Macaca mulatta: one gene and its partner. The protein of the gene in region 2 purifies or fractionates together with the protein of the main gene of each other region. This does not show direct contact. Links are inferred from orthologs where the notes say so. Each region holds a gene or a part of one and is shown on either strand. Other genes may lie near its edges.

Region 1 (16,322 bases), on a different chromosome or scaffold from region 2:
AATTTTGATGAACTACTACTACTGGAAAGAAAATCCAGGCTACACAATCTATAGCCTCACTAGAAATATAGTGAAAATGTCCCAGCTAGTCTATTACATTCCTTGTAGAAAACCTTTTCTTTAGAAAGGCTTAAGCACACAGCTAACAAATACAGGTTATCCTGTGTTAATAACCCAAGGAGTTAACAGTCAGCCAACAGCTCAGTCTTCCATCCTTCAAGTCCTAGGCAAGAACAGGACTACACTGACACAAAACGTTGTAATTTGTAATGTTTTGATTCACATTTAAAATTACTGACTTAAGGCCGGGTACGGTGGCTCATGCCTGTAATCCTGGCACTTTGGGAGGCCAAGGTGGGCGGATCACGAGATCAGGAGATCGAGACCATCCTGGCAAACACAGTGAAACCCCGTCTCTACTAAAAATACAAAAAAAATTAGCTGGGCGCGGTGGTGGGCGCCTGTAGTCCCAGCTACTCGGGAGGCTGAGGCAGGAGAATGGCATGAGCCCGGGTGGCGGAGGTTGCAGTGAGCCGAGATCACACCACTGCACTCCAGCCTAGGAGACAAAGCGAGACTCCGTCTCAAAAAAAAAAAAAATTATTGACTTAAAAAGCAAACTCCAAGATGACTTAGGAGTCACTTCATAAAGTCTAAGGTTTAGAAGGTTTGTTAATGATCACTTATCCAACTCCTTCCCTATAAGATGAAGAAACTAAGGACTAAAAAGGGCAGATGGCTCACCCATGGTTACACCATTAGATAATGGCAGAGGTAGGACAAGAACCCAGGTTTCTGAGCCTTTTTTCACTTGCCTCTCTTTCTTTAAAAATAACCTTTTCTTTTCTGAATTAGGTCAAATCTATTTGGGTAGAGGTTAGGGAACCAATGTGTAGTAGTCTGAATGATGGCCCTCTCCCAACAGAGATTCATATCTTAACCCCTTGAACCTGTAAATGTTACTTTATATAGCAAAAGATGTGATTAAAAGATGAATCTGGCCAGGCGTGGTGACTCATGCCTGTAATCCCAGCACTTTGGGAGGCTGAGGCAGGCAGATCACCTGAGGTCAGGGGTTTGAGACCAACCTGGCCACAATGGTGAAATCCCATCTCTATTAAAAATACACAAATTGATTGCCGGGCGCAGTGGCTCAAGCCTGTAATCCCAGCACTTTGGGAGGCCGAGACGGGCGGATCACGAGGTCAGGAGATCAAGACCATCCTGGCTAACACGGTGAAACCCCGTCTCTACTAAGAAATACAAAAAACTAGCCAGGCGAGGTGGCGGGCGCCTGTAGTCCCAGCTGCTCAGGAGGCTGAGGCAGGAGAATGGTGAAAAACCTGGGAGGTGGAGCTTGCAGTGAGCTGAGATCCGGCCACTGCACTCCAGCCTGGGTGACAAAGCGAGACTCCGTCTCAAAAAAAAAAAAAAAAAAATACACAAATTGGCTGGGCACCTGTAATCCCAGCTACTCAGGAGGCTGAGGCAGGAGAATAGCTTGAACCTGGGAGGCGGAGGTTGCAGTAAGCCGGGATCACACCAATGCACTCCAGACTGGGCGACAAAGCGAGACTCTGTCTCAAAATAAAATAAACATGAATCTACATTTTTTTTTCAGGGACCTGCCAGTTTAGGAATAAAATGTATTTTAAATCTGCTCTCTCAGGTTGAATTAAAAGATAGGAGAGGAGAAATTTATCCTGGTTCATCCAAGTGGTTTCTTATTTGCAATCATACGTATCCTTATAATACAGAGGTAGAGGGAGAGTTCTGATGGAAGTACTCAAGAGAGAAGACAATGTGAAAACAGAACAGAGAGACATGCCAAGGAATGCTGACCATAATCAGAAGCTAAAAGAGGCAAAGAACACAGTCTCTCCTACAGCCTCCAAAAGGGCCTCAATATCTTGATTGTAGACTTCTGGGCTCCAAAATTGTGAGAAGAATAAACTCCTTTTGTTTTAAACCACCAAGTCTGTGGTAATTTGTTACAGCAGCCACAGGAAACTAATACACAGGGGGAATAAAATTTTAAAAATCATAAAGTAGACATATATAAAACATTACTGATCCAAAAAGAATTGTGTTTCAGATAACCCAAAGAATGTCTAAAACCTTTAATCCCTCATTTTCAAAGGGTAGATTGAGGCAACTGCAGGATACAATTTGCCCCAAAGAAATTGGCAGATCTGAGAAGAGAAACTCAGAAAGATCTAATATTTACATAGCTGCTAACAGGAACAGTGTAGGTTTTTCTGCAAACATGCTAGCTGGTAGAGCTCCTGGACAGACTAAACATAGGCAGCAGTTGTCACAGTGGGTGTTCTTCCAGCACAAGTGTAAAGCTGTCATCAGAAATGAATATGTGGCTTCGAGTGGCTTACAGAAATCCAACAAATCTGCATCTTGGACTCTGGACAAGCGAACTCTTCTCAGGATGACCTGGACTCCTTCCTATTAGTACAATGATCAGTTAAAATCATTCTCTATAAGCAAGGAAGAAAAATAAAAGTTTATGTCAGGAGAAAAAGATGATTGCCCAGAGTCCAAGTTCATGAATAGCAGATATGTAAACAGCCATACTGAGTCAAGTGGTATCTCATGTTGTAATTTATTACTTTTAAAATCAATATCCATAACATAGCTTTAGGCCCAGTTTCATGTAAGGTGAATGGAAATAAAAACAATCTAAGTAAAAGGACAAAATAAAGACTAGAAATGCTTTACCACGACAGTTATTAATTAAATGGGCTATATCAATAAGATACAGAAATCATGCTATGCAGTTAAAGACCTCAATAGAGCTGGGAACAGCGGCTAGCGCCTGTAATCCCAACACTTTAGGAGGCCGAGGCAGTTGGATCACGAGGTCAGTAGATCGAGACCATCCTGGCTAACACGGTGAAAACCTGTCTCTACTAAAAATACAAAAAAATTAGCCAGGCATGGTGGCACATGCCTGTAATCCCAGCTACTCGGGAGGCTGAGGCAGGAGGATCGCTTGAACCTGGGAGACAGAGGTTGCAGTCAGCCAAGATCACGCCACTGCACTCCAGCCTGGGCAACAGAGTGAGACTGTCTCAAAAACAAACAAACCTCAACAGAAGCAAAAAAATACTTGGTCTTCCTCAAAAATCTTTGTACCCTGATACCAAACCTTTCTCTTTTCTAGAGTATTGTTAAAAGGCTCTGAGAATCTCCAGAATTTCCCCAGCCATATACAAATCCAGCCGCTTCAAATGTAGGCTCACTCCTTCTTTCCCCAACTATCACCCTGCTTACCTACTACCCAAATTGAAGCTTTCCACTTACTAGTTTTCAGACAGAACAGTGAAAAAATATATTCCCCTTTATAGTAAACACTCCTTTTAGATTTGGTTGCAATGGTTAGGTATATCTCTAAGTTGTTCTTTTTTTTTTGAGACAGTCTCGCTCTGTCATCCAGGCTGGAGTGCTGTGGTGCCGAGTCTCGGCTCGCTGCAACCTCCGCCTCACAGGTTCAGCAATTCTCCTGCCTCAGCCTCCAGAGTAGCTGGGACTATAGGCGCCCGCCACCACGTCTGGCTAATTTTTTGTATTTTTAGTAGAGACAGGGTTTCACCATGTTAGCCAGGATAGTCTCAATCCTGAACTCATGATCCGCCTGCCTCGGCCTCCCAAAGTGCTGGGATTACAGGCATGAACCACTGCACCCGGCCGGTATGTCTCTAAGTTCTAAGCACAAATGCTGTAACTTTTGTAATTGAGGGCCCAACACATATCACACTGGAAGTTAGGATTTCTAACTCTGTGAGATTCCCAGAATTTCAATGAAAAATTACCCACTAAAATTTCACCACCAGAGTGAAAAATTCATCATATCTATTAATTATCACATTAGAGGCTGGGCACAGTGGCTCACGCTTGTAATCTCAGCACTTTGGGAAGCCAAGGCAAGCGGATCACCTAAGTTCAGGAGTTCGAGGCCAGCCTGACCAACATGGAGAAATCCTGTCTCTACTAAAAATTAGTAGGGCGTGGTGGCACACGTCTGTAATCCCAGCTACTCAGGAGGATGGGGCAGAAGAATCGCTTGAACCCGGGAGGCAGAGGTTGAGGTGAGGCAAGATCGCGCCATTGCACCCCAGACTGGGCAACAAGAGCGTCTCAAAACAAACAAACAAACAAACAAAAAACCCTATCACATTGTGAGAGATTTTGCAATATTTTTATTGTTTTCCCTCTTTAAGCACTGTGAGACTTCACAATAAAACAAGCAATTTTCACTTGCACACCACAGTAAACTAGAAAGTCTCGGCTTGGCTCCTATAATCTTTCTTTTTTTTTTTTTGAGACGGAGTCTCGCTCTGTCACCCAGGCTGGAGTGCATTGGCCTGATCTCAGCTCACTGCAAGCTCCGCCTCCCGGGTTCACGCCATTCTCCTGCCTCAGCCTCCCGAGTAGCTGGGACTACAGGCGCCTGCCACCTCGCCCAGCTAAGTTTTTGTATTTTTAGTAGAGACGGGGTTTCACTGTGTTAGCCAGGATGGTCTCGATCTCCTGACCTCGTGATCCGCCCGTCTCGGCCTCCCAAAGTGCTGGGATTACAGGCTTGAGCCACCGCGCCCGGCGGCTCCTATAATCTTTCAAAGTAAAACACATGAGTAAAAACACCAAGTAACAGGTCACTGCTTAATCTGTTTAGATACTCCTTGACTTACAGGTTGAAAATACGAAAAATTGAAAATTCATTTCCTACACCTAAGGTGTTCCTACCGAACATCATAGCTTAGCCTAGCCTACTCTTAAATGTGTTCGGAATACTTACATTAGCCTACTGTTGGACAAAATCACCTAACACAAAGCCTATTTTATAATAAAGTGTTGAATATCTCATGTAATTGGTTGATTACTGTAGCGAAAGTGAAAAACAGAATGGTTATGTGGATACTTGAAGTATGGTTTCTACTGAAAGGAAATTGTTTTCCACACCATTGTAAAAGTGAAAAAATCTTAAGTCGAAATATCACAACTAAGGGACCATCTGTACAAGGGGCTGGGGCTGGAGATGGAAGGAACTGACTCCGAAAGTAATCAAAGGTGGCATGATTTGGTGACCTATTGTTCAGATCAGCAGTCTTTTCTCCCCCAAAACTCTGGGTCTATAAACAGCTGCGAAATCAGTTCGGTGGAAATTGACTGCTTTCTTAAGACAATGAAATAGTATACTGCAGACAAAAGAGTATCGGAGTGCTCTGCACGTTTGTTTAGTGAAATCTGTTTCAATGTGTGTACAGGATTACTGTAAAATACATTTCTTACTGAAGTCAAAAAAGTTTTGAAACGTGGATCCAAAAGAATCCCAGTAAAGAATCCCAGTAAAGAGGCTAGCTAGAATCAAGTGAAAAAGACGGATGTGAGGCAAAGTCTACCTTCTTCAAAAACATATTTGCCGTTATTTTAGGAAGCCAAACAAGGACAAGATGCAATCAATCATATGTGTAAGTTTAAGTTGCAAAAAGTGGTAAATATTTCTTTTTTCCTGAGACAAGGTCTCACTCTGTCACCCAGGCTGGGGTGCAGTGGCACGATCTTGGCTCACTACAACCTCTGCCTCCAGGTTGAAGCGATTCTCCCATCTCAGGTTCCTGAGTAGCTGGGATTACAGGTGCCCACCAATATGCCTGGCTAATTTTTGCAGGGGTTTTTGTTTTTTGTTTTGAGACGGAGTCTCGCTCTGTCACCCAGGCTGGAGTGCAGTGGTGCAATTTCTGCTCACTGCAACCTCCGCTTCCCGGGTTCAAGCAATTCTCTCTGCCTCCCGAGTAGCTGGAATTAGAGGTACCTGCCACCACGCCCACTTAATTTTTTTGTATTTTCAGTAGAGACCGGGTTTCACGATGTTGGCCAGGCTGGTCTTGAACTCCTGACCTCAAGTGATCCACCCACCTCGGCCGCCCAAAGGGCTGGGATTACAGACATGAGCCACTGCGCCCGGCCCAATTTTTGTGTTTTTAGTAGAGACGGGTTTCACCATGTTGGCCAGGCTGGTCTCAAACTCCTGGCCTCAAGTGACCCGCCCACCTCAGCCTCCCAAAGTGCTGGGATTACAGACGTAAGCCACTGGCACCAGATCAAGTGGTAAAAATTTTAATAAAAATTTCCTTTTATCAAATGGAACAATGATCAATTCTGTATCTAAGGAGATAAACATCAGGATTTAGCGATCCATTTACCAAAGGCCACTCCCTAAACACTTCAACCATCTTCTCTCACTTTTACCTATTTTCCAATTGGTAAAATAATGGATTTTGAAAAAATAATAAACTCTAGCATTTTATTTTTATTTTTTAGCAATGGGATCTTGTTGTGCTGCCCAGACGAGTGCAGTGGCTATTCACAGGCATAATCATTTCACACTGCAGCCTTGACCACCTGAGCTCAAGCCTCCTGCCTCAGCTTCCATAGTAGCTGGGACTACAGGAACACGAAACTGTGCCCTGCATACTCCAGAATTTTGGGAGAATGATTTTCAACCGAGGGAGATTTTATCCCCGATCCCTACCTCTCCGGACATTTGGCAATGTCTGTTAACAATCTGATTGTCACAAATGGGGATGTGGCGAGAGGTGCGATGTTACTGGCATACAGTGGGTAGAAGCCAGGGATTTTGCTAAATATTTTACTATGCACAGGACACCCCGAATACCCTTAACAAAGAATTATTATCTGCCTCAAAATATCAACAGTGCTAATGCTGAGAAATCTTGCTGCAGGTTAAGACTGTATTCCTTTCAAACCTAAATAAATCCAGGACAGATACCCTTAACCAGTATCACTTTAGTTCTCAGAAGCTCAGCAACCCCATTACTAGCATACCTACAAATAGGTTTAAAACCAGGGATAAACTATATATAAATACTTTATCCTTTTGCTAGTGCCAGAGAACATGGAAATTTTTCCTCTGTTCATAAACTGCTATTAAAATCGTTTGTCTTTGGTATAAAGTCGGAAAGGTCTCTAGTCATAAGTGTACTTCATAGGTAGTTGATTTTCAGTATTTAAGTATTTTCCCTTGATCCTGAATTATTGAACAAAGCAGTAAGACTCTGATACAGCCAATGTTATCAAAATTTATTTATTTCTCCAAAAGATCCTGGAATAAGCAGAGGGGGCATTACCAAAAGGAGATAGACTGCATGTAAAACACACTTCGAAGGAAATCTAATTAAAAGGCAAGGAATAATCCAGGTGATGGATGAGTCTTCTGTCCCCAGAACCCTAAATATTACCCTCTTTAAGCGTTTCTTTTTTAATCCAAAGTCAGATATCCTCAAATGAACATCAAAATGAGGGGTTTTAGGATATCTTTAATGGTGTAAAGAAAGGAAATGTATGAGAGGGAAAGTTCCCGGGAGAAAGAGACTAAAATAAAAGCACTGGGCACATGGATTATATAAATCAGAAAAAGGGTGGTAAGTATGTGATTATGATTAGAAACACAAAACAATTGACTTCATTTTTTATTTAATTTTAATCACAAATCATTAATCTTGCAAAGTTTTAAACATTAAAGAACCAGCCTGCCTCGATCCTACTGTGTCCCTAGGACTGACACACTTTGGTGTGTAGCTTTGGAAAACTTTTCTATGGACCTACAAACATATTGTTCGTGGAAATATGCACTATCAGGATATAGAGATTTCTCCTATTCGTTCTAACATTTTAACAGTCTTCCTAAAGAAGCGACTTCTGAAAGTATTATAAAAAAACAAACAAAAACCTCCTCTGTTCCCCAAACCTCAAGTGGTGAGGAGGCGGGGGAAACATGGTCAAGTCGAGGAATACACGAGGAAACTTAGGCTTCAGGGAGGTGTATGGGACTGAGGCCTAAAGGCTCCGTTAGAACATTAGAAAAGTCATTGTGGATAAAACATTCATCCTCACACGCCATTACAGGCACCGACTCCCCTTCCTCACAACCCCAAATCGAAGACCTCTCTCTTTTGGAGAGCCGATTGGACGACTGGTCCCAGTGCTTTCCTTAGGCTGTCCGTCTACTGGCTCCAGATTCGTTCCATCCGTTTAACCGCCCGATCCCGCATTCCCCATTGGAGTCAAACCGCTGCCTCCTGGAGAAGCCCAACCTACCGCGCGCTTCCTGCTCACTGGCTCAGTGAGACGCTGCTCAGAAGGGGAAAACCCATCTCCCACATTCCGATGGCCCAAGGGCCGATCAGTCGGCAGCTCAAGGCACACCCAATTGGCCTATACACAAGCCAGTCAAAGTCTTCGGCTGCACAGCTCCCAAGAACCTACAGGGATTAAAACATCCCGCCCCCTGTTCTTCTATTGGTTGACCCGATCCACCGCTGCCCCTTGACTATCCCCCACCCCGCGGTCCATTCATTTCACACAATAACGGGCCCAAATGGAGTCAGTTCAAGACCTACTATGGGTAGATAAGACTGTCTGCCACTTACCCGGGATTGAGAGTGATCACTCACGCTAACGTCTGCCCTGTTCCTGTTTGGTGAGGCCGCACCACTAGCCACCACCGCCGCCGCCTTCTGCGCAACGCCAACCGCCCGCCAAAACGGATCCTTCCCTGCGCCTGCGCAACCAATCCTGGGACCGGACCTTTTTTCTCCGCCCACTGCGCATGCGCAAAGCTAGAACCAACTCCCGCCAACACGCAGGCGCCGTAGGTTCACTGCCTAGTCCTGCCCGCCATTTCACGTGTTCCCAGAGGCAGGTGGAACTTCTTAATGCGCCTGCGCAAAATTCGCCATTTTGCTACACGTGCGGTCAACAAGCGTTCTTTGCAAAAAAACTGTGACCTCCTGGCTGCTTGTCTAATACATAGTGTTAATCATGCTTTGCCAAGCGACTTGACTGTAATATTTACGCGTGGAAGATGAAAAAGGCGTTAAACACCCCAGGTAGATTCAAACATGAATGATTGGTCGGTTGGCCAATCAGACTGGTTAACAGTAATATTACTCGAGAACCAATTGACTCCAAGGGGTGGAGACGCGTAGAACGCCCAAAGGAATGACGTTACACAGCAATGTGGCACCACAGGCCAATAGCAAGGGGAAGCGATTTCAAATGTCCAATCAGAGCTGTTCTAGGGCGGAGTCTACCAATGCCGAAAGCGAGGAGGCGGGGTAAAAAAGAGAGGCCGAAGGTAGGCTGGCAGATACGTTCGTCAGCTTGCTCCTTTCTGCCCGTGGACGCCGCCGAAGAAGCATCGTTAAAGTCTCTCTTCTCCCTGCCGTCATGTCTAAGTCAGAGGTGAGTTAGGCGAGCTTTCCAACTTGAATGTTTTTCGTCTCCCTTTTCTGAATCGGTAAGATGCGGCTTGGTTTCGTTCCTTGCACCAGCCGATTCTACAGTTAACTTCGGTCGCTGCCAAGGCCTACCCCTCCCAAAGTTCAAGTCGCCATTTTGTCCTCTTGATCGCCATGAGGCCGCTCTCCGCCAACCACGAGTTATCACGCGGGACTCGCTACTCGTAGCAAAATTCTTAGGCACACAGGATCTTTGTCTTTTTTTAAACCTTGCCTTGGTGAGCGAGATTTCTGAAGAGCGGTTAGTCCCATTATGGAGATGCACCCCTCCCGCCCAAGCCTTTGTTGCGCGTGCGTCGGAAGACGACTAGAGACGCATGCGCTTGCGATTTCCCAGCACTCCCAACCCCCAGCATACTGCCTCCCTTGGTGGGGAGAAGCACGTGGCCTGTTGCGACCTGAACAAACAATAAGTGCTAGGTACACAGTTGGTGTCTAGTTTTTCTTTTCCTTGATGGAAATTGTTTCGTGTTGTAGTCCATTTAACACTTCCCCCTTCCCCCACTCCAGTCTCCTAAAGAGCCCGAACAGCTGAGGAAGCTCTTCATTGGAGGGTTGAGCTTTGAAACAACCGATGAGAGCCTGAGGAGCCATTTTGAGCAATGGGGAACGCTCACGGACTGTGTGGTAAGAATTGGGACAAAGCAGTAAAATAGCCGAGATTTCCTTGGCATATCTTGGTGCAGTCCTCTCTGAATGCTTATGAAAGTTGTTAGTAGCATTATGGTTAGAGCTTTGTCGACAAAGGAATATTCTGCTTTGATTTTAAAAGCTACTTGTTAAATCTAGGGTAGTGGGAAACTGGACCGCTTTTCATAAAAGGCTGGTATAAAGTTTCCTATTGCCCTATTCAAAGTTAAAATGACAAAAGCTTCTGCGGTCAGACTTTGTTACATAAATTAACACTGTTCTCAGGTAATGAGAGATCCAAACACCAAGCGTTCCAGGGGCTTTGGGTTTGTCACATATGCCACTGTGGAGGAGGTGGATGCAGCTATGAATGCAAGGCCACACAAGGTGGACGGAAGAGTTGTGGAACCAAAGAGAGCTGTCTCAAGAGAAGTGAGTTGTTTTGTGTTGGGTTTTTTTTTGTTTTTTTTTCCCCCTTCAACTCATTTAGAGATGTGCTGCTATGGACTTAAGATTCAGGAGTTTTCTAAACTTACCAGAACAATTTTTGATTTGAATATAGGGTTTGCTAATCTAAACCTGTGGTTTTCCTCCTATTAGGATTCTCAAAGACCAGGTGCCCACTTAACTGTGAAAAAGATATTTGTTGGTGGCATTAAAGAAGACACCGAAGAACATCACCTAAGAGATTATTTTGAACAGTATGGGAAAATTGAAGTGATTGAAATCATGACTGACCGAGGCAGTGGCAAGAAAAGGGGCTTTGCCTTTGTAACCTTTGACGACCATGACTCCGTGGATAAGATTGTCAGTAAGTATCCGATAGTGTCATTTAGTAAGGGTTCCACAATCCATGTGGCATTCTAAACCCTGAGACCATGTATTTATATTTTTTTTAGTTCAGAAATACCATACTGTGAATGGCCACAACTGTGAAGTTAGGAAAGCCCTGTCAAAGCAAGAGATGGCTAGTGCTTCATCCAGCCAAAGAGGTATGCTTGTTGCTTAATTAAACCTTAAAGGTAACTTTGAGTTACTTCAGTATGAATGAAGTAAACTTCATTTCTTAAGGTCGAAGTGGTTCTGGAAACTTTGGTGGTGGTCGTGGAGGTGGTTTCGGTGGGAATGACAACTTCGGTCGTGGAGGAAACTTCAGTGGTCGTGGTATGTATGGTTTATGTACGTGTAGTTCTGACGTCACACCGTCTTTGCTATGTAGATTTTACAGTGTGGGAAGTGCATTTAGAATGTCATTTTCAGTGCAAGTCATACTTAAAACTTGAAACTTTTTCTTCCAGGTGGCTTTGGTGGCAGCCGTGGTGGTGGTGGATATGGTGGCAGTGGGGATGGCTATAATGGATTTGGTAATGATGGTAAGTTTTTTAGGACTAAGTAGAGAAAAAATCCTGGCAACCTGGATCTTTAGAATAGGTTGATAAGAGACTAAAATTCTGGTGCATGACAAACTCAACCTTGCCCATAACACGCATGCTGTGAGCAGGCCTTCAGCCATTACACTTGCACACGTTTTCATTGTCAAATACTTTTGTCTTATTGAGAAGAATTGTATTCTTGTAGGTGGTTATGGAGGAGGCGGCCCTGGTTACTCTGGAGGAAGCAGAGGCTATGGAAGTGGTGGACAGGGTTATGGAAACCAGGGCAGTGGCTATGGCGGGAGTGGCAGCTATGACAGCTATAACAACGGAGGCGGAGGCGGCTTTGGCGGTGGTAGTGGTAGGTATCCAGTGATCCAAGTACTTGGTGTGACAGCTAGATTAGCCTTTTAGAGCTTGGGTTCTGGTGCTGTTAAAGCATTGTATGGTACATTGCATGGTATATTAAAAACAAATGGGCTTGCTATGCTACCTCCTCCTAGCTTTAAGCTGGGGCCGCCTCACTCCCAATTAGTAGAGATAAGTGGATAGTATTGTCTTTGAGTTAGATTAGTATCATAGAAGGATTTAGTATCTTAACTCCTTTGGGACCTTAGGCGCTTAGTTGATGTATCCAAGATACTTCTGCTTGCTGTGGCCCTGGATCCATGAAGGCCTTCAAGGCTGGAGAATATGCTTGAGCCACTATGAAAATCTCTTTATTTTATGTCATGGTGAGTTAGGCCAGTTTTCTTTTTATTACTGGATTATTCAACTGAATGCCTTTCCCAGAGAATGAAATGCAAAGATTGGAGTCACCATAGTTTGGGAGAAAGGAAGGCAGATAACTCAACCTTATTTTATTCTGACCACTAAACAGAATTGGAAACTAGCATCATCCTCAGGTAACAGACGAAGGCCCTCTTTCCCATTCATAGGAAGCAATTTTGGAGGTGGTGGAAGCTACAATGATTTTGGCAATTACAACAATCAGTCTTCAAATTTTGGACCCATGAAGGGAGGAAATTTTGGAGGCAGAAGCTCTGGCCCCTATGGCGGTGGAGGTCAATACTTTGCAAAACCACGAAACCAAGGTATGGTATCTGTGTAATTTGGGATCATGTCAAAAGAGTTGTATCTGTAGCTACTGCTGGGAAGAAAGCCCTTTAACTGCTATGTCTAGGCAGCAAAACGTTTACAGTTTAGAACCTTCAGAAAGTGATAATTTGATCACAAATTTAAAAAGTCATGGGACTGCTTTACCACTTCCTTTGGAGTAGGGGCCATTTTTAAATGGCCAGACACTTGAATTTAACTTTTATTATCTCAACTATGAAAACATTGTGTTACTGTTGGCACTTTGAAACTTTAAAAGAAAAATTGTACTCTTCAGGTGGCTATGGCGGTTCCAGCAGCAGCAGTAGCTATGGCAGTGGCAGAAGATTTTAATTAGGTAAGTAAGCACCTTTTTGTGTGTGGACATAATTTTTTAAATTGCTGATGAACCCAATAACCCTAATGTAGCTGAGCAGTGCAACATAGTTAACATTATAATTGCAGTAATTGTGGATATAAAGTTAATATTCAGATCAGCAAAATTTGTGGGAAGCAAACTTGATATTGGATTGTAGCCTTGAGTCTTAATATGTTTAGATTAACAACTTTATTCCATATTGTTCAACAGGAAACAAAGCTTAGCAGGAGAGGAGAGCCAGAGAAGTGACAGGGAAGCTACAGGTTACAACAGATTTGTGAACTCAGCCAAGCACAGTGGTGGCAGGGCCTAGCTGCTACAAAGAAGACATGTTTTAGACAAATACTCATGTGTATGGGCAAAAAACTCGAGGACTGTATTTGTGACTAATTGTATAACAGGTTATTTTAGTTTCTGTTCTGTGGAAAGTGTAAAGCATTCCAACAAAGGGTTTTAATGTAGATTTTTTTTTTTTTTGCACCCATGCTGTTGATTGCTAAATGTAATAGTCTGATCGTGACGCTGAATAAATGTCTTTTTTTTAATGTGCTGTGTAAAGTTAGTCTACTCTGAAGCCATCTTGGTAAACTTCCCCAACAGTGTGAAGTTAGAATTCCTTCAGGGTGATGCCAGGTTCTATTTGGAATTTATATACAACCTGCTTGGGTGGAGAAGCCATTGTCTTCGGAAACCTTGGTGTAGTTGAACTGATAGTTACTGTTGTGACCTGAAGTTCACCGTTAAAAGGGATTACCCAAGCAAAATCATGGAATTATTGGTTATAAAAGTGATTGTTGGCACATCCTATGCAATATATCTAAATTGAATAATGGTACCAGATAAAATTATAGATGGGAATGAAGCTTGTGTATCATCCATTATCATGTGTAATCAATAAACGATTTAATTCTCTTGAATGAAATGACAACTGTATGGATTTGGGACTGGCAGAGATTTGGACTTTCCCTACCCACTCCCCTTGATGATGTTGAATGCTTCTATCACAATTCAAGTTCAAAGCTCTGCCAGGGAATAGAAACTAGCTGCTGGCTAATGCCGCTCCATAAATCCACAGATTTGAAGTGTTTGGGAGGCCTTTTAAAAATAAGCAATATCAGAAAGTATTTAATGAACATAAAGATAGGCTTACATTAAAGGAAAACTGCAGTTTGACTGGGTTCTGGTTGGGTGGGCCTTCAGAGGTTTTATCAGTTAACTATACTAATTTGGAGATGAAAACCATACCAATAGAAACTAAATTTTTCTATGTAATTTCATGTTAACTGCAGTTTCCCTTTATGGCACAAGGTCACACAACCTACCTAAAATGTTAATTGTATAGAAAATGATTTCTAAACCTTTAACAGTTAATATCCAATAATGTGTTGTTTGTACATAGATTCTTTTGAGCCTTACCTTTGGTGCTCTCAATTTCAGTGCTATTGTACCTAGTAGCATAGAGATTTGTTTATCAATAGTACTGTATATTCCATCCCATGGGTGTGTTGGAAGTTTGGGGAGGAGGGTGGTGGGAGGTGGGTGGGACATGGTGGTGGGTGGGAAAGCATGGGTGATAGTCCATGATACTGGCTGAGTTTGCAATAGCAGGTGGAACCTTAACTATTGAGGGAGTTTGCAGATACCTCAGGATTCGTGACAATGCCTTTAAAGATCCAGGAGAGATGTTCAGCTACTAGGAACTGCTAGCAAGTATAGCGCGAATGGCTCCGAGCTCAGACACTCTACAGCTGAGAGTAGACACTTGTGGTATGTGGAGTACAGATAAGCCAGGGGCAGGCCACGGCACGCTCCATGAAAGCTAGGAGGGAGTGAAATTTCAGTGATCATCGCAAGGAAGGAGGCAGACAAGAGTAAGGCACACCTGACTCTTAGGACTAGCAGTCAGAACCAGGAGGAAAGGTTTTATTGCTATGCGGGTAGGTAAGAACAGATTTTACTTACATCCATATAGTGGCTTAAAGTCCAGTTTTCTGTTAAACATTTTTCTTAATATATTGAGCCAAAACTAGTCCAGTTAAGCTGAACTTGGTTTTTCTGGAGATGAATTGTTTTAAATTGACACCCTATTGGTGGCTCCCAGTTGAAGGAAGTGAGCACATTATTTGTACTGTGAATATAAATTTTTGCCCTTTTATTTATCTTCCTTTGACCCATTTCCTTAAAATAATGGCTCAAAGTAATAGACTCTTCCCCATATGGTGGGGGGATGGGTGGGCTATCAATGGGAGGTATGGGGGGTTTAGCTTGAGATGGGACTTGGTCTTAGAAGAGAGCTACTTCTAAAGGCTGTTTACTTTTCTAGGGAGGAGTCTGCTACTAGTCTTATCAGCTCTTAAAAACAGAAACTCACCTGTCCAAGTTCGTGGCAGAAAGGTAAGTTTTTTACAAGTTAGTGGTCAGCAAAAGAATGCCCTGCGTTCCCAAAGTAAAAAGGGAGAAGGACAAGCTGTACCTCAAACCAAACATTTTGTAATCTCATCCAATTGCAAAAAGTTACTGGTACAACCAGGTATTCCCAGTAGTGACAATGGATATAATTGTGTAGTCATTCACCTCTGTTTATATAAATACTTTATAACCTCTTTTGCCTTTTGCAGGAACATCCTTGTGAAGACCTTTATCTGAGCCACTGTGCTTCGTTATCACTGCCATGCAGTTGACATGAGCTGTTTTGCAGCTCAAATTCCATTTTGTAAATGGGGTTTTTTGTTTTTTTTTAAATAAACTGTATTTGACTTATTTCTGCTTGTTTTGTCCTCCTTTGTGATATCTATGGTTAATAACATTGAAATTCAGGTTAGAGAGGATATGGTTGATTACAATGTGAATTGCTATATTTAGATTCATCCCATTCAGCTTTATGGTTTAATGAAAATAGAAATAAGTTTTCACTGCTGGAGTAATTTTTGGCTCATTATAATAAGTAAACTTTACTGTTGATCCAATTGAGCATGTCCTTTTTCTAGCTCCCCTGGCAAGGGAAAATCAAGTTGTAGCACTGCCATTGAGCTCAGTAGGTCTCTATTGGGACTTATGCTCACCATCTGTTGCAGAAGGACATAATGGATTTCATCTTTGGCAAACAGGTTGGGTTTATTGGCCAGCTGTCTCATACTAAAGTAGAATTAGCAAGCTAGGAGTAAGAAAGTAAACTGAATGGGAGGCAAGACTTAGCCTCTCAAAGATAGCCTAAAAATGGAAGGGCTATCTTGGAAGTAATAATTGTACCCTCTAGCAAATGCTTAGGTTTTTCTGTGTGTGTGTTTGAGATGAAGTGTCCCTCTGTCACCCAGATTGGAGTGCAGTGACAATCTTTGCTCACTGCAACTTCTGCCTCCTGGGTTAAAGCAATTCTGACTCAACTTCCCATGTAGGTGGGACTAGAGGTGCCCAGCTAATTGTATTTTTAATAGAGACAGCGTTTCACCATGTTGCCCAGGCTGGTCTTGAACTCCTGGCCTTAGGGGATCTGCCCACCTCAGCCTCCTA
Region 2 (15,560 bases):
TTGGGTGCTATAACCACTCACAACCTAATTCCCCTTCCCCAGACGATTTTCCTAGGAGTGAAAGACCAGCTCCAAATCATAGGCCAGCCCTGCCCCCAGATCTGTCTCTGGGCTGGGTGCTCTTTCCATAACACACACTCGCCACTGCATGGGGTACAGACATCCTTCCGGTGTCTTGGAGACTGAAAAACCCTAAGATCCCTAGTGGTGATTCTCCAAAAACAGAACCTAAATACTATAACTTTGGGGGCAGATGAAAGGCTGTAAGGATGAAAATAGAGGGGGATGAGTGGGTGAAAGGTGGGGTAAATAGGTGAGTGACCTTATCTTCCTTCTTTCAAAATTCAACCCACTACATTAGGCGGCACCCGTTCCCCTTGAGAAGGCCCCGGGTGGGGGGCCGAAATGGGATCGGCCAGGCCTGGAGAGTGCAGAGATGGAGAAAGCTGAAGGGTCCGGCAGACACATCCTGTGCTTACCATGATCACCACTTTGGGGGTAGGGCCCTTAACCTCCCGCTGGACGATGCCAAACCGCTGGCTGTACATTTTCGAGTCCCCTTCGGGATGGGGGCGGCGTCCGCCGCGTTTCCCCCAACCGTGGCGACCTGCGGGACCGCTTCCGCGACGCAGAAGTATCGTTGCCATGGTGCGCCTCGCGGGGTTAGGGGCAGGTAGAGGTGGGCGGGTACGACGGAAGTCCGTCTGGTCACCATGGGGGCCGCAGACGCCTGCACTCGCGACTTCCTCTTCCAGCCGAGAAGCTGAGCCTGCGCGGTCCTCACCCCGCCCCTCGGCCAAACCGCACCGACTTTGCTCCCTTCCTCTAGGGTTCATCAGAATGGCAGAAAAATCCTCTAGCCCAAGAAAAATCGAAGCTCTAATTACAATTCCAGTTGACTTTGCTATTTATATCCTGTAATGGTCTAAAGGTACGAGAAAGGTTAGCGAACATTTTTTGGGAAGCTTAAATTTTGCACTATCTCTAGGTTAATCTTGATAACGGTGATAATCACAGGAAAACCTTGTATTTGTGTAGTTCTTTACAATTTCCAAGATATTTTCACACACACAACCTTTGAACCTCACAGACTTTTTTTGAGCCAAGGTCTCGCTCTGTCACCCAGGCTGGAGTGCAGTGGCGTGATCAGGGCTCCCTGCAACCTCGTCCTCCTGGGCCTCGGCCTCCAGAGTAGCTGGGACTACAAAGCCTGCGCCACCACGCCCTGCTAATTTAAAAACAAATTTTGAAGAGATAGGGGGTCCCGCTATGTTGCTCAGGCTGGAACTCCTGCTCCTGGGTTCAAGCGATCCTACCCCCTGCCCCTCCCGTTGGCCTCCCAAAGTGGAATTACAGGCTGCGCTACCGCGCATGGCCACAAATATCTTATACGGTTGATAGAACAGGAAGCATTACTATCCTTATTTTCCAGCTAAGGCAAAGCTCAGGGAGCCTAAGTGCCTTGTCAAACCAAATAACCAGTAATAATAATAATAATAATAATAATAAAGGCTGTTAATAATAAAATCTTCCTGTTTGCCATCGGCAGAAACCAGGGCTTAGACTCAGGATATCCTAGGATGGGGACAGATCAGATGGACTAGTGGGGCAGTGGCACGACCTGGTGGGGCATAATTAAGAGTCTGAGGGTCACAGTGGAAGGATCAGGATGTGGATCAGAAGTCCAGTAACTGGTTTCTGAGAATCAGGATCCAGGCAGAACAGGAAACACAAATCAGGGAACCAGGACGGACCTGCAGCACAGGTAGTAACCACAGTTGCATTTCCAGTCAAGAGTAAGGTGGTGATACCTAAAAGCCAATTAAGAATGACACTCTGGTACTCCAAAAGTGGGGGTGAGCATAGAACACTTGAGCACATGCAACAAATCAGTACCTACGTCAAACTGACGTATAATAAGTACAACTAATGTGTATACCCTCCTTAAGGACACAATTTACTGCAAATTAGCATTCCTTAATCATATGCAAACCACCCACTTCGGCTTTTGTATATGGTACGTTTCTAAATATGAATTCCATTTCCTGAATTGCTGGTTCAGTTTTTCAGCCATGAAATGTCTTTCTTCTCTTTTAATCATCTTTTAATAATTCTGTCATTTTGTGTTCAATTGCAGTTCAGTAAAACACTCATTTGCATTTACTAAGAGTTTACGTGGCCTGGAACAGAAAAAGAAACAAATTAGGTGGTCGTCTCGGTTTCCTGGAGTGTCCAGAGGGGCGGTTCTTTGATCTTCGAGTTCAACGGGCCCCGGGACCGCCCATTGGTCTGGGAGGAACCTCCCCCACCACACCTCCGGGAAGGCGGCAACGAAAACGCGTTGGGCCCGGAGCAGGGCTTGGGAAAATCGGCGGCGATTCGGGGCCGCCCGCTGGGGATTCCCAAGGTTGTGCAGCCCAAAGGGCCTGGTCACAATTTCTGAGGCGATGGGGTAAACCGACCCTTGGCGACACCCGGCTGCACTCGAACGTCCTAGGTCGTCGAGCCCCGCCCTCACCCTGGACGTGCTCCGAAATTTAACCCTGGGTCGGTTTTGCCTGTTTTACCGCTATTTGAAGAGGGGCACTCAGCTTCCCTCTGGCCCTAGCCCAGGTACTGGGGTTTGCGCCGGACGGATGCCACGCCCCAGGGCGGCCAGGCCACTGGTGATGGGTGACGGGCGGTGCCTCCAGGGTCCCAGTGGTTCCCCGACCGGGAACTACGGGCTTTCTCGCCTCGGCGCCCCCTGGCGGGCCCACCAGCAGGTTGACGGTGTCCGGCCAGTGCTGAGCACCGAGAGCCTCAGCCTTCAGTGAACCCCCCCCCCCGCCCCGGCGGCCTAGGGAAGTGAATCTCAGGGTCCTTGGAAAGAAGTGACCTTGATCTTCCCACCCACTATCCCAGTTTCTCAGAGGCAGTCAACACTGTTCCCACCAAACCACTCCCAAAAGAAACACTGAGCATGTAAGTGGGACAATAAAAATTTAAAAATAATTTTAAAATAGAACAGCTTAGAGATAGAAACTAAATTATTTCCAATTCCTACTGTGCCCCAAACAAGGTTCACAAAAGGGCTGTCCTCCCAATAATTTTCTGAATTCTATATATTCAGCATTAAATTCCATGATAAAGTTGGAAATCCATTCACCATTTGTAATACATATTGATGCATTTAATAAAATTGCATGAGCCGTATCTTTTGCATTTCTGTATCCTAGTATTAAGTATAGTGCCTACCACAGGCCTGGTTCTCAATACTTGAATGACACAAAAATAGCCAGGACCAGCAAGTTTTTTCTGGGTGGGCTTCATAGAATCTCTGCACTTGCTGGAATCACCATGAAATTCATGGTCTTCAGCTTTGCATTTTCAGCAACATGGTTATATTGAGTTATCCTCAGGTGAGTAGTGAGACCCTTGGGAGCGGATTCATGGTAGGGCGGCTTTGTAATGTGTCACCTTGGTGAGGCTGTTTCCCAGAACTCTCTTCCAGTAAGATGGGCCACAAGAGACATTTTGCTTGATAACTGGAGGGCAGAAGTGAAGCAGCAGCATATTGTTTTTACACTTGGAAGGCTGGTGCTGGGGCACCAGGCGCTGTTGCAGTTCACACATTGTCATGTATCTGCTGGATCACCTCGTTGGTGTGGGCAGCAGCCAGGCCTGCAGCTGCTCCACCTTCCCCAGGATCATCTCTTCAGCTTCTCTAATTCCTGGGCCAGATGCATATTTAACTCTGTGAGGAAGGGCACCAGCTTCTTCTGCAGGACACCCACATCATCGAAGCTGGAGGTGGTGAGAGACTGACATGGGTTCCAGGCCATCCTCGTGGGTTCCAGCTCGTGCTCGTGGGCTCCACTGTGTCCTCGGTCTCCCACACTTTACATCCATCTTCCCTTCCCGAGTGCCTGCCCTGCAGACTTCAAGCTCCAGCATTAGATGCAAAGATAACAGCCTTACAGAGACTGTTTAACCAGCTCCCACAATGGCATGCAGTCAGATCTCTATAATAAATCCCTTAAAGTACATATATACATAATCTTTATCTTAGTGGTTCTGCTCTTCTGATTGTACCCTAACATACATGGTAGGCAGAAGCTTAACTCATGAGTCTAAATGTCAATCAAATAAATTTCATATAGTTCATTGTCAAAATTACCAGAATACTGGGGTTGGGTGGTTGGTTCCTGGGGGAAACAAAGCAGTATCAGTCTATCCAGTCTTGACTAGGGCTGAACTAGTTAGGGTGGAATAAAGGAAGGGGTGGCGAAGGTGGCAGAGGCTGGACTGTATGATAGAACTGGGAAATGGCTCATCCATGTCTGAATTACTTAAAGCTGCAGGGCTGGGACTAGGGTAAGGCAAGGGAGGCACGTAGGATACAAAGTTTAAGGAGGCACTCACTCAGTCCTGGCCCTGTAAAGCTGGCTAACAAATTACAGGTCTAATCTTTTTGGCACTTTATGAATGAAGAATTGGAAAGAGTGAGGTAGGGCTGAGCCAAGACTGGCCCTTGGGCAGGACTCGAAGCAGGAATTCAGCCTCCTAGAAGACATTTGGGCTGAGGGCAGGAGCCAAGCACAAAGGTCATCAGAGGGCAGGAGATGCACGTTGTCAGGAAAGATGAGCCAGGCTGGCAGCTTTAGTTACAAAGACTGCTCTAGCTGAAGAGGGGGAGTCAGGGTAACAAGCAAAATGGACAGCAGCCAGTGGGGAGATATATCCTGTAGGGTTTGAGGAATCCTATGCAGCACCTGGGGTCTGCAGGAAACCCAGTTTCTGTATGAACAGATGTTCTGACAAGGTGACCCCATCTACATCGAGTCTTGGCACTTTCTAAACCATGCTAGAGACAGGAATGTAAGGGATTTATTATAGTACTTATAGTAATCTGTGTTTTGAAGGTCACCAAAAACTCCTATTAGTGCATACAGGATTACAGGTTACAGTTTAGTGGCTTAAAGAACAAGGGCTTTAAAAGCTGGGTTTCATTCTAGGCTCTACTAACACCAGCTGTTCGACATTGGACAAATTAATGAGTCTGTTTTCCCATTCACAAAAATGGGCAAAATCAATGTCTTCCCAAAAAGATTATTCTAAGGATTAAATAAACTGGGTCCACAGAGGAACACACCAAATAGCAGTTCCTTTCCTTATTTATTCAATTACATTTTCAATTGCTGTCTCCCTGAGGAAGTATGTAGAGACACTGCCAGGTCTCATCCAGAAGCCACTTACAATTATTCATGAACATGGCTTGTTTAGGTTGTTTTGTGGTGGTTTTAATTATATTACCTTTCCCCATCCCAGCTCCCCCACCCTTAAAATCCAACTTCTTATACTCAGGCTCTTGGGGAGGAGAAGATGCACCAACTTTCTACTCTTTCTCTTCCTTTCCCGCTTACTTCTTCTAGAAGCTCAAAGTACTGTTAGGCCTGCTCCTCTGGTTTCGTGGTAGGTTTTTCCTCCTAGGGTTGATTCACACACAAGCCCTGGCAACCAATCTAGGGTCCAGCCCCTAGTAGATCAGTGTTGTCTCTCATAAAGCCAGTCTGCAAATATCACCTTGAATCCTACAGTCTGTAGAAGCCTCCAGTCTACTGCTTTCTAGCTCCAGGTTTTTTAAGGTCTTTGGACCTAGGGAAGAGGGAGCAGGTCTGTATGTTGAATGAGGTTTGCTATATGCGAAATGGAGCATTACAAAACCATTTCCTAGTATTCTGTGTCCTCCATCCACTTCCCCTTAATTATACCTTTATCTTTTTTTATATCTTCTAAAAACTACCATTACAGACAGCTTGTCCATAGTCAGATAATAAGCTCCCTGAAGGTAGGTATCTTGTGTCTCCTGACACAGGATATAAGCTTTGCAGGGCTCATTGTCCTCAATGCTGTGCACCCAGCAGGAACTCAATCAGGACTTCTGTAATTGGCCAAGCATAGATGAAAGGGTTTCCAGCCTGGTGGGCTAGTTTGTAGGAGCAAAGGAATCCACGTGCTTGGCCAATAGTTTACATTGCCAGTGTCTGGGGCTCTATGCAGGGTCTGTCAACATTCTATAGGAGTCAGCGTTCCCCTGCCCTCCCAACCATTCTAGTCCTTACAGGCATCTACCCTTCGTCCTATGCCAGGACTATAGGGACAGTTCTGCATGGCATCTGAAGTTAATAACCTCAATAGGCTCAGGAAAGGCTCAAGAGATCCAGCCCAAGCCCCTCCACAGAGGCAGCTCCAGGAAGTACAGGGCAACCAGAGATCACGCAACTACGTGTGAACCCGGCTCACAAAGCCAGCTCGGAACCCAGATCTCCTGCCCATCCCACTGCCCAGGCAAGCCCAGCACCATTTCTCTGATATACATTGCTCAATGTCAGGCAACAGCCCACCCAGAGGTCTCCTGGAGACTCCAAAGGCCTTCAAGACTCCAAATGATTATTCTCTGAACAAGAATTTATATATTAAAGCTGACCCTTATAGATATTTCTTAGGAAAATAGGGACCAGACTCCCTATCTTTTTCTTTCAAATTTCATGATAGAGTGTCAAGTCTTCCCCCTACCCCCAAAGGAGAGTCCTAACCTGGAATGCTATTGGGCTGGATCTCCGGAGAAATCTCTATGGTCCTACACACATGCCCCTCATTAATTGTGATCAGCATAGTGGGTATGGGCCTTTACCTCCCACCACACCATGCCAAACTGCTGGCTATACTTTCAAAACTCAGGGCCCACATCTGGCCAACACCCCCTCCTTCCCCACCCCTCACTGTGTGGGGCACACCTTGGCAACCAGACCGCTGTATCTCGGAAGCGGGTTCCACCCAGGCTGAAAATCTCCGTGATCTAGAGAAGAATTAACACCATAGGTCAATGTGGTTGTTGGGGCTATGGCAGGGTCAGGGCAGGGTGGGGCATCCCCAGCACTGACCACGGGTGTGCCAGCCCCTCCTGCCTCTTCTTCTGGGGCCAATTTGGAGGCAGAGTCATCCTTGTTCTCCTCCTTGTCCTCCTCAGGGTCAGGTGGCTCTTGCTTCACAGATGGCAGGCCTGGGTCTACTGCCTGGGAGAAGTAGGAAACAGGCAGCCATTAGAAGGGCAGAGTTAGCCCGAGGAAAGTCTCTATCAGCCAACCCCTCACTGTGCTGACAAATCCTACCTTCCATCACATTTCAACACAGAAAGGCCATCTCTGCCTATAAACCTTTCCCATTCCCATTCCTCACTGACCTCCGTTTTTCTGTTAGCTGGACAGCAAAGCGGGCAAAGCTAATTGCCTGCAGGAGGTAGGGTGTCTGTTAGACAGGCGGGGTAATTCTGCAGAAAGGTTGCAATCAGCACATCTATTGCTCTGCTTAAGAGAACCATCATGGCTCATCATCACTCTGCTTACAGACCAGCCTGCTACGGCATCAACAGAACATCCATCACTGCCCCCACCTTGCTAGGGCAGCCAGGCACCAATACGGGAGAAGTCAGGACAGCTGTGCCTGGTGTCCACTCGTCCTGGGTATCCGCCTTCTCTTGCTTCACCTGGGGTAAGGCCACAACCCAACTCAGGCCAGAGCACTGGGCCTCCTGCGTGAGGGAGGATTGCAGCAGACTTGGTCTCAGCTCCCTGGCATGAGGCTGGGTGGGGCTGGGAAGGGAAGGACAGGGTGGGGCCCTCACCTGCAACAGGGCTTCTGTGGAAGCTGCAACAGGGCCTGGCACCTGCACAGGACTGCTTGCGCCCTCCCGTAAAAACACAAGGTCAGTGCCAGGCGGAGGCAGCACAAAGCCACCACCTGCTTCCTGCTTCGTTGGAGCCTGGGTATGGTCTGGTTGGGCTGTGCGTGTAGCCAAGGTGGGCTTCAAGGTAGGCCCAAGATGGTGACGTCGGGCAGAGCTGGGCCTCTTTCGACGATGGTAAGGTGGGGGCGATCCTGCCCCATCCTCAGACTCTGACCAGACACTGGGCAGCAGCCGCTTCTATGAGGAAAGATAGGGTGCTATGGCTACCTGGTGTCCTGACCAGTCACATCCACCCTGCCCGGCTCCACATGCCTGCTAATCTCCCATCGGTCCCAGCATGGAATCTGCTTACGTATGAGCCCTTCGTCATTGAGCCTGCTAGTCTCCTATTAGCAACACCAATGCCACCTAGACTCATTAAGCCAAGCACAATGTCTGTTAATCCTCAACCAAAGCTACTGCGCCACCCACCCACCTACCAAGCCTGCCCACCACTCCCAGGCACTGGGGCGCCTGGCCCAACCTATCCCGGCCACCTGACCCTTCCTGCCCCACCCACCATGGCAAACTGCAGGCATTGGCGCCAACGACACTTCTGGCGCTTCTGGTTGCTGCCCCCGAATTTGGGCTTGTCGCAGCAGAAGTCGCAGCGGCCACAGTCCATCCGCCGTAGGCAGGCTGCACAGGCCCCGCACTTGCGGTTCTGCCGGCGGTTCGTGTAGGGCTGCTGGGGTGGGGGGAATGGGTGGTGCTGTCAACTAGGACTAGGAGAGGCCATCCTCAACGCCTATTCCAGTGCTGGTCCTGGTGCTCCTCTAGCCCCATAAGAAGGAGCTACTTGCATACTAGTCTCAGCCTCCTGACTCCCAGCTAGTCACTCCTCAGCATTTGCTAGTTCAACATTGGCCACTATCGCTGTGCCAGCTGGCCCTCGATACCATTAGGACTGTGGCTGCTCCACTACAATATCCAGTGCTGTATTTCCTAGGCCACCAATGGCTACCAAGAAAATGTCTCTAACCCCCATTTCCAGCAACATTTTGATAACTCTCTATTAGCTCCCATCACTGTGCCTACTCTGTCTGCTCATCCTGTGTGAACCCCAGTCATTGTGCTAGCTGCTCCTCTGTCAATCCCATCACTGTGTCGATTAGTCCTGCATCAGCCACCAGAGTGTTGATACATGTGACATGAGGCACTGTCATTGCACCTGCTGACCCTGTATTAGTCCTCCATTATCTACTCATCCCATCCTAGGACCCATTATTGTGCCTTGCTGTTCCCCAATAGGCTCATTCCAGCATCTGCTTCTTTGAAGTTAACCAAGCGTCCTGAGAGTCTAGGCTTATCCAGGTAGGGTAGGGCCACTCACTAGCTCGTCCTCGTCTACACAGTAATAGATGAATTCGGCAGGTGGCGAGGGGGCCAGGGCTCTGGGGTGCTGTAGAGGCAAATGGGGTGGGGTCAGGGCAGGTACTGGGTAAGGTCAGGGTTGTGCCTTCCCTCCACCCACTGGGGCCTCACCGGCTCTGTGGGCTCTGGGGACTGTGATGGGGAAGGTGGAGGCAGTGGCTGGGCTCCGGGGCGCCTCCTGGCAGCCATCTTGGAGTCACAGCCTCCCTTGCGGCGGGCATGTTTACCCTGGGAAAGACCAGAAAGGGTGGTTTCAGCTTGGTGGCACCAGGCAGACACAGGAACTCCCCACTCCCTAAGTGCAGAAAGCATGCATGGGACAGGCAGACAGAGGGTGGCATGAGGCACTCACAGTTGGGGGAGCCACAGCCAGGGGAGTGCGTCGCTGACATCTCTGATGACGGCGACGCAGGCGGTGAGCAAGGTGCTGGCAGACAGGGGCAGGCAGGCGGGGCCAGAAAGGTGAGCGTGGGGTTAGGCAGAAAAGAAAGACATAAGGTAGGCAAGGCCAGGTTGAAAGGAAGCAGAGGCAGCGACGATTTTAACAGCAGAGTGAGCTCTGCTCCCTCCAGCCCGACTCACCCGTAGGCAACGTCGCTGGACACATTTCCACTGGCGCCTGAGACCAGGGCGGGGAGGGCGAAGGCAGATGGGACAACGGCCACAGTCCTCTTGGGTCTGACAGCCCCGGCATACTCCACACCCTCGGCTCTGTTGGAGGGGATGTGGGAGCAGAGGCATGAAGCATGGGGCCAAGCCCACGAGGGCCAGGGGCCGAGGTGAGCCTTGGGCTCTTTCCACTTGCCCGACTCACCCTTTCCACAATCCGGAGGCAGCGTCTCCGTTCACACTTGCAGAACAGCCCCGATGCCACATCATGGGGCAGCTGCAGGAGGCACGTGGAGCAGGCCCCACAGTCTTCTGTTACCTGGCAGGCTGCACACTCCCCACAGCCCACACGCTGCCAGGAATGGTAGGGACGAGATCACGGGCCTGCTCCAGAAGCACTGGTCCTCCCATGTCTACTGACCCTACATCAGCTCCCATCACCGGGACTTCTAGTCGCCCGTAAGCCTCATCACTGAGGCCATTAGTATGTCTACTGGTCCCTTGCTAACTTCATCACTGTGTCTACTGATGCACTAATGGTAACGGGAATTAATTAACCCATTGATTCCCATTACTGTGTTTGCTGACCTATGGAGAGCACCCTATAAAATGACTTCATCCTGTGGACCTATCATCATCCCTTAGGACTCTACCAGCTCAATCACATCCTGCTCCCACTGCAGAGGTGTGAAGAGAAAGCAGGTTGTGCTTACCTTAAACATTCTCTGTTCTCGGTTGAAGGCAATTCTCTGTGCTGTGGGGAGGAAGAGGGAAGAAGAAAAGTGGAAAGAAAGCAACAGACATCTGACTGATTCACTCACTGCCTGTGCCCTGACTTCCACTATTCAACCTCTACCCATGCCTGCTATCTCCAGTATCCAACCTCCAACCATGCCAGTAGCCTCTGTCCTGACATCTACATTCAACCCCCAGCCTAGCATGACACTGAACCTGCTCTAGCTCCTATCTCCCGATGCCCCATCCTCTGGGGGTCACTCACCTCGACAGTCTTTGCACAATGTTTTGAGCCGCTGCCTTTGGGTGCCATCCCCTGAGAAGCTGATTCCACAGTTCTCACAGCATCTGGGATGGGAAAGGCAGGTGAGGGGCTCCAAGAGCACCCCCAATCACAACCCTCACCCATCTGGCTCACCTCAAACCAACACTCACCCAGGAGCAGGGAATGAAGCTGGGGCTGTGTCAGTGTCAGCCTTGGTCTCGTCCCTTGGGGCCTCCTTCCTGACCTCACCACTCTGGGGTCCAACCTGACGTTTCCGAGTCTTGGCTGGCTTTGAAGGCTTCTTTCGCTTCTTGCTGGCAACAGCCACAGGATGGGCCTGGAAAGTAAGGAAAGGAGGCATATGGGTCAGTGGGTGGGTGCTGAGTGGCACAGCCACCCCTACCTAGGCATCTCACATTGTAAAGTACCTTGGGGGCTGGATAGCACAAGATGCCTTGTTTGAAGTCGAAGAGGGTGAGATCACACGCAGGGCCCAGGTATCGAGTCAGCTCAACTTTGCTTCGGATCCTGTCTCCTGTGGGGCTAGGGATGGGCCATGATGGGTTAGCACCCAAGTGGAGCCAATGTCATTTCACCCACACAACCTTCCGACAGGGCTGGCAGGATACAGGAGGCAGCCTGGAATTGGCCTGTGAGCCCTGCCCAGCCCCACCTCAACTAACCTTGAAAACATAAAAAATTAATATAAATACCAACACAAATACAAACATCAGAAACAATACAAATGTAAACAGACAAATATATTTATAACATATAATACTAGTAATACTGGAACTATTTCACATAAGTAAAAATAGACACAAATAGAAACACAAATATATTAAATAACATATAAATATGTTAGCACTGGCCAGGTGCGATGGCTCACACTTGTAATCCCAGCACCTTGGGAGGCCAAGGCGGGCGGATCACGAGGTCAGGAGATCAAGACCATCCTGGCTAACATGGTGAAACCCCATCTCTACTAAAAATACAAAAAAAAATTAGCCACGCATGGCGGCGAGTGCCTGTAGTCCCAGCTACTCGGGAGGCTGAGGCAGGAGAATGGCTTGAACCCGGGAGGCGGAGTTTGCAGTAAGCCGAGATTGCACCACTGTACTCCAGCCTGGGCGACAGAGCGAGACTCTATCTCAAAATATAAATAAATAAATAAATAAGTTAGCATTATGTACCCAGTATATAATCAAGCAAAGAAAACAACACAAATATGTTTTAAAAACACACAAACAAATACAACTACACACAAATTAAAGTATAAGTAATTGATTTTGGGACCCCTGGTTTCTTGCATTTCTGTACGCCCTGCAAGAGAGACACCGATTATTCTTTTTGATAAACTATCTTTCCAAGGATGTTTGTAAAGCAAACAACCTTGGAAGATAAGAGATAGGGTCTCCTTCCATAGTAAAAGGAAAGCATACTTAGTGTCCTAACGTTATTAAAAAAACTTGATTCTCTAAGCTCAGGGTTCTTTTCCTATAATAATACAACCCTCTTCATGTCATGCTGTAGGAATTGGGATTCAGGAAACTGGCACAAAAATAGTAATACAGTAATTCCCCCTCTCGTCAGGGTATACATCCCAAGTTCCCCAGTGGATGCCTGAAACCGTGGATAGTACCAAACCCTAATGTAATATGTACTGTGTTTTTTTCTACCTGATAACTGAGATGGTTACTAAGCGACTAACAGGCAGGTTGTGTATAGAACATGGATATGGATATGGATATGGATATGGACAAAGAGATGATTCACCTCCTGAGCAGGACTGAGCAGGATGGTGTGAGATTTCATCACGCCACTCAAAACGGCACACAATTCAAAACTAATGAATTGTTTATTTCTAAAATTTTCCATTTAATATTTTTGGATGGTGGTTGACTGTAGGTAACTAAAGCTGTGGAAAATGAAATTGCAGATAAGGGGGAGACTTATTCTGGATCCTGCAACTGTTATAATAAACTGTCTTTGACCTGTAACCCAGGAGTCTTACCTCTCCTACCAACATCTACAAAATTCTGACAAATTCACTATTATCTTGTCCTAAGAATGAAATCTCAGATCCTTCGTAGTTCCTGACAACTGCACTTTTAAGTTTTGAAAGTTTTATACGAGTACATAAATATGTGAATAAATTATAACTAAATACAAACAAAAAGTAATTTGTAATTTGATATTTACCTGGAAAACTGCAACTTAGATTTAAAAAATCAGAACGAATATAGAAACATAATAATTAATGTAGCCTAAACACATGTAAATGCTTATAAACATCTATGCTGATTCTCATTAGTTATGGTAGGTATGTTCTACAAAGTTGCCATGAACACTGAATACAAAACCATTGCTCCTAGAGGAAATACAGGGTTAGGTTCCTGAGAGCATCTGAACTTCTGTTTTGTGCGTGTTTCTGTTTAAATACACATTACTTAATATATATTTTTTACAAATGATTATTTGCATGGTCTTTGAATGACTCAAACCAGGGGCTTTGGAGGCCATATGTGTTCTGTAGGTTTGTTTGCTAATATTTTTGTTTAACAAGCCAATCCCATTGGCATTGAAAACCACTCTTCTACACAACCCCTTTCCTATAAAACACTTAAAAGGTATTTTTAAAATTCTTCGGAAGACTCCTGATCGGGAGAACCTGCATTGCATGCAAGTTTAACATTTTTCATGCCATGTTGCCTTTTGAAATGTGCAAGTCAGCCAGCACTAGCTGATACAACCTTAATATTTTCCTAACCCAGGGTAACGTGACTTTGGCTTTCCTCAACAATGCTGTCCACTATGCTTTATTGATCGTCATTTCATGAATCCACCAACGTAGCTGCTTTCTCATCTCTTCCATAGCTTCAAGACTATAAATGCTTTCTGTATTTTCTGAAGCAGCCTTGTGCACATATTGGCAAATTTCCTTCTTTTTCTGGTTGTACCATAATTCTGATGCATAACATTGAACTTACAGCCAACAGCATTGTAACTCAGATAACCAACAAGGTTTATCTGCCTTGTATTTTCTCCGTAAGGCACGACATGGCCTTCTCACACTCAGAACACTAAACAGCACCTCAGCACTACGCTTGAGGACTATTTTAAAAAGCAAAATCACCAACAAAACATACAAAAATTAGAAAAATGTGACACTAAACAGACCACGAAAAGGACACTTGTTTACAGTATTAAAGCTGAAATAAAAAGGGCTCCTTCAGTCTCAGCTAGAAACACATGCATTGAGTGACAGTTTTTCACTGCTCTGTGCATGTCCTTCAATAATCACAAATGCACTGTGAGTAGTGACTTTTAAGTTACAAATACTGTATTAAGTAGGTGAAATTGCAAACACAAAATCCGCTAATAACGATTAACTGTGCATAATTTAAACTCCATCCATAAATTTAACCGCACTATTTGATTTTACCCTAATGAGGCTCTACCCCACCCCCACTCTGCCCACAACCCACCCAGTACCTCTGGTAATAGGTGTCTGAGCGTCCACAGGTGGCCCCTGACTTGCGAAAGACTTCACGGCGCTTCCAGCCAGGGCCCAGGGCCGGGCAGTCCAGCCAGTCCTCAGCCATGGAGGCCACAGAAAGCAGCAGTAGCCTGAAAGGGGGTTGAGGGGATGAGGGAAACTGAGGCTCTAGGAAGGGACAAAATGTGCCCCAGGCCACACAAATCACTGGTATCCATTAGTGCTTGCCCAAGACCTAGGACCTGCCGCAGGCAACCAGCCCATATATGGAGAAGAAACCCCTCATATTCTCACCCCATTCTTTCCTATTCTGGGCCTAGGAGATCCTCATTCCTCAACCCAAGGATCCCTGTTTATTATTCTTAGTGTCCTAATCCCCTACTCCTCTCTATCCTCAGACTGACAGCCCATCATTTCTCCTCACTGCCAATCCAGAAACTTTTCATCTTCCCCCCTCATTCCTCCCTGTCACTGACCTAAGGGCCTCTATCCCTCTATTTTATCACCACAAGACCCCCATACTTCCCATCCTCAGCCCCAAAGGGCCCCATTTCTCTTGCCCTCACTACTTGGCTTCAGTAGTCTCTCATTCCCCCCTTCCCCGACCCAGGAGTTCCTAATTTCCTTCCTTCAGTGTTTTAACCATTCCATTCCGTCTCTGCCTGATGTCCTCTTATCTTGCTACCTCAGTGTTACAACCTCGACTTCCTCTGCGAGACACAACTGCTCCAACCCATGACCCGAACAGCCCCTCATCTTTTCCATTTCTCACACACTGGAAGCCTCCCATGCCTCCCCTTCCTCAGCCAAGAGCTCCCCCCTTATTTTTCTTCTCCTTCAATGTTCTGGCCCACAATTTCTCCCCAGTCTCAGCCCCCAAACCTTCCTGTTTCTCTCCTCTACATCCAAAAAGTTCCCCACTTCTCCCTCTCACTGTTCTCATTCTCCATTCCTCCCTTATCCTGAGAGACCCTAATTTCTCCCCTCAGCATTCCGAACCCTCCCCCATTCTCTGTTCTTGTCCTGGGATCATGCCATCCCTAACTGTCAGCGTTCTGATCCCCTACTGCTCCTCGTCCTCTATATGGGGCCTCCCATTCCTCCCTTTCAGCATTCCAACGCCTCCATTTCTCCTGTCATCAGCCTGAGGGCCCCTCATTTCTCCCGCTCGGAGTTCTGAACCCCCATTTCTCTCTCAACTTCAGATGCCCTGATGTCTCCCTTTAGCGTTCTGATCTCCACCATTCCTCTCCGTCCTCGTCCCAGGATCCCGACACTCCTACCTGTCAGAGTTCTGAGCTCCATTCCTT

The links.
Region 1: the proteins of MBD1 (region 2) and CBX5 purify together in Homo sapiens (affinity purification with western blotting; 3 studies listed by BioGRID and IntAct, with this or other methods). This does not show direct contact. The link is inferred for Macaca mulatta from reciprocal best matches to the Homo sapiens genes MBD1 and CBX5.

What each region holds. Positions count from the first base shown.
Region 1 is NC_133416.1:61,461,869-61,478,190, forward strand, and holds the start of CBX5 (chromobox protein homolog 5), read right to left. Parts: upstream 8,592-16,322; 5' UTR 8,466-8,591; intron 1-8,465. UniProt on the Homo sapiens protein: Component of heterochromatin that recognizes and binds histone H3 tails methylated at 'Lys-9' (H3K9me), leading to epigenetic repression. In contrast, it is excluded from chromatin when 'Tyr-41' of histone H3 is phosphorylated (H3Y41ph).
Region 2 is NC_133423.1:42,024,476-42,040,035, reverse strand, and holds the end of MBD1 (methyl-CpG-binding domain protein 1), read right to left. Parts: intron 14,382-15,560; 5' UTR 14,357-14,381; coding exon 14,247-14,356; intron 11,295-14,246; coding exon 11,180-11,294; intron 11,089-11,179; coding exon 10,922-11,088; intron 10,835-10,921; coding exon 10,752-10,834; intron 10,506-10,751; coding exon 10,465-10,505; intron 10,104-10,464; coding exon 9,957-10,103; intron 9,854-9,956; coding exon 9,725-9,853; intron 9,371-9,724; coding exon 9,254-9,370; intron 9,171-9,253; coding exon 9,102-9,170; intron 8,457-9,101; coding exon 8,289-8,456; intron 7,967-8,288; coding exon 7,667-7,966; intron 7,574-7,666; coding exon 7,436-7,573; intron 7,059-7,435; coding exon 6,927-7,058; intron 6,842-6,926; coding exon 6,780-6,841; intron 5,638-6,779; coding exon of another isoform or gene 5,598-5,637; exon of another isoform or gene 3,921-5,597; coding exon 3,731-3,920; 3' UTR 2,966-3,730; downstream 1-2,965. Other genes in the region: CFAP53 (cilia- and flagella-associated protein 53), read right to left, coding at 480-836. UniProt on the Homo sapiens protein: Transcriptional repressor that binds CpG islands in promoters where the DNA is methylated at position 5 of cytosine within CpG dinucleotides. Binding is abolished by the presence of 7-mG that is produced by DNA damage by methylmethanesulfonate (MMS).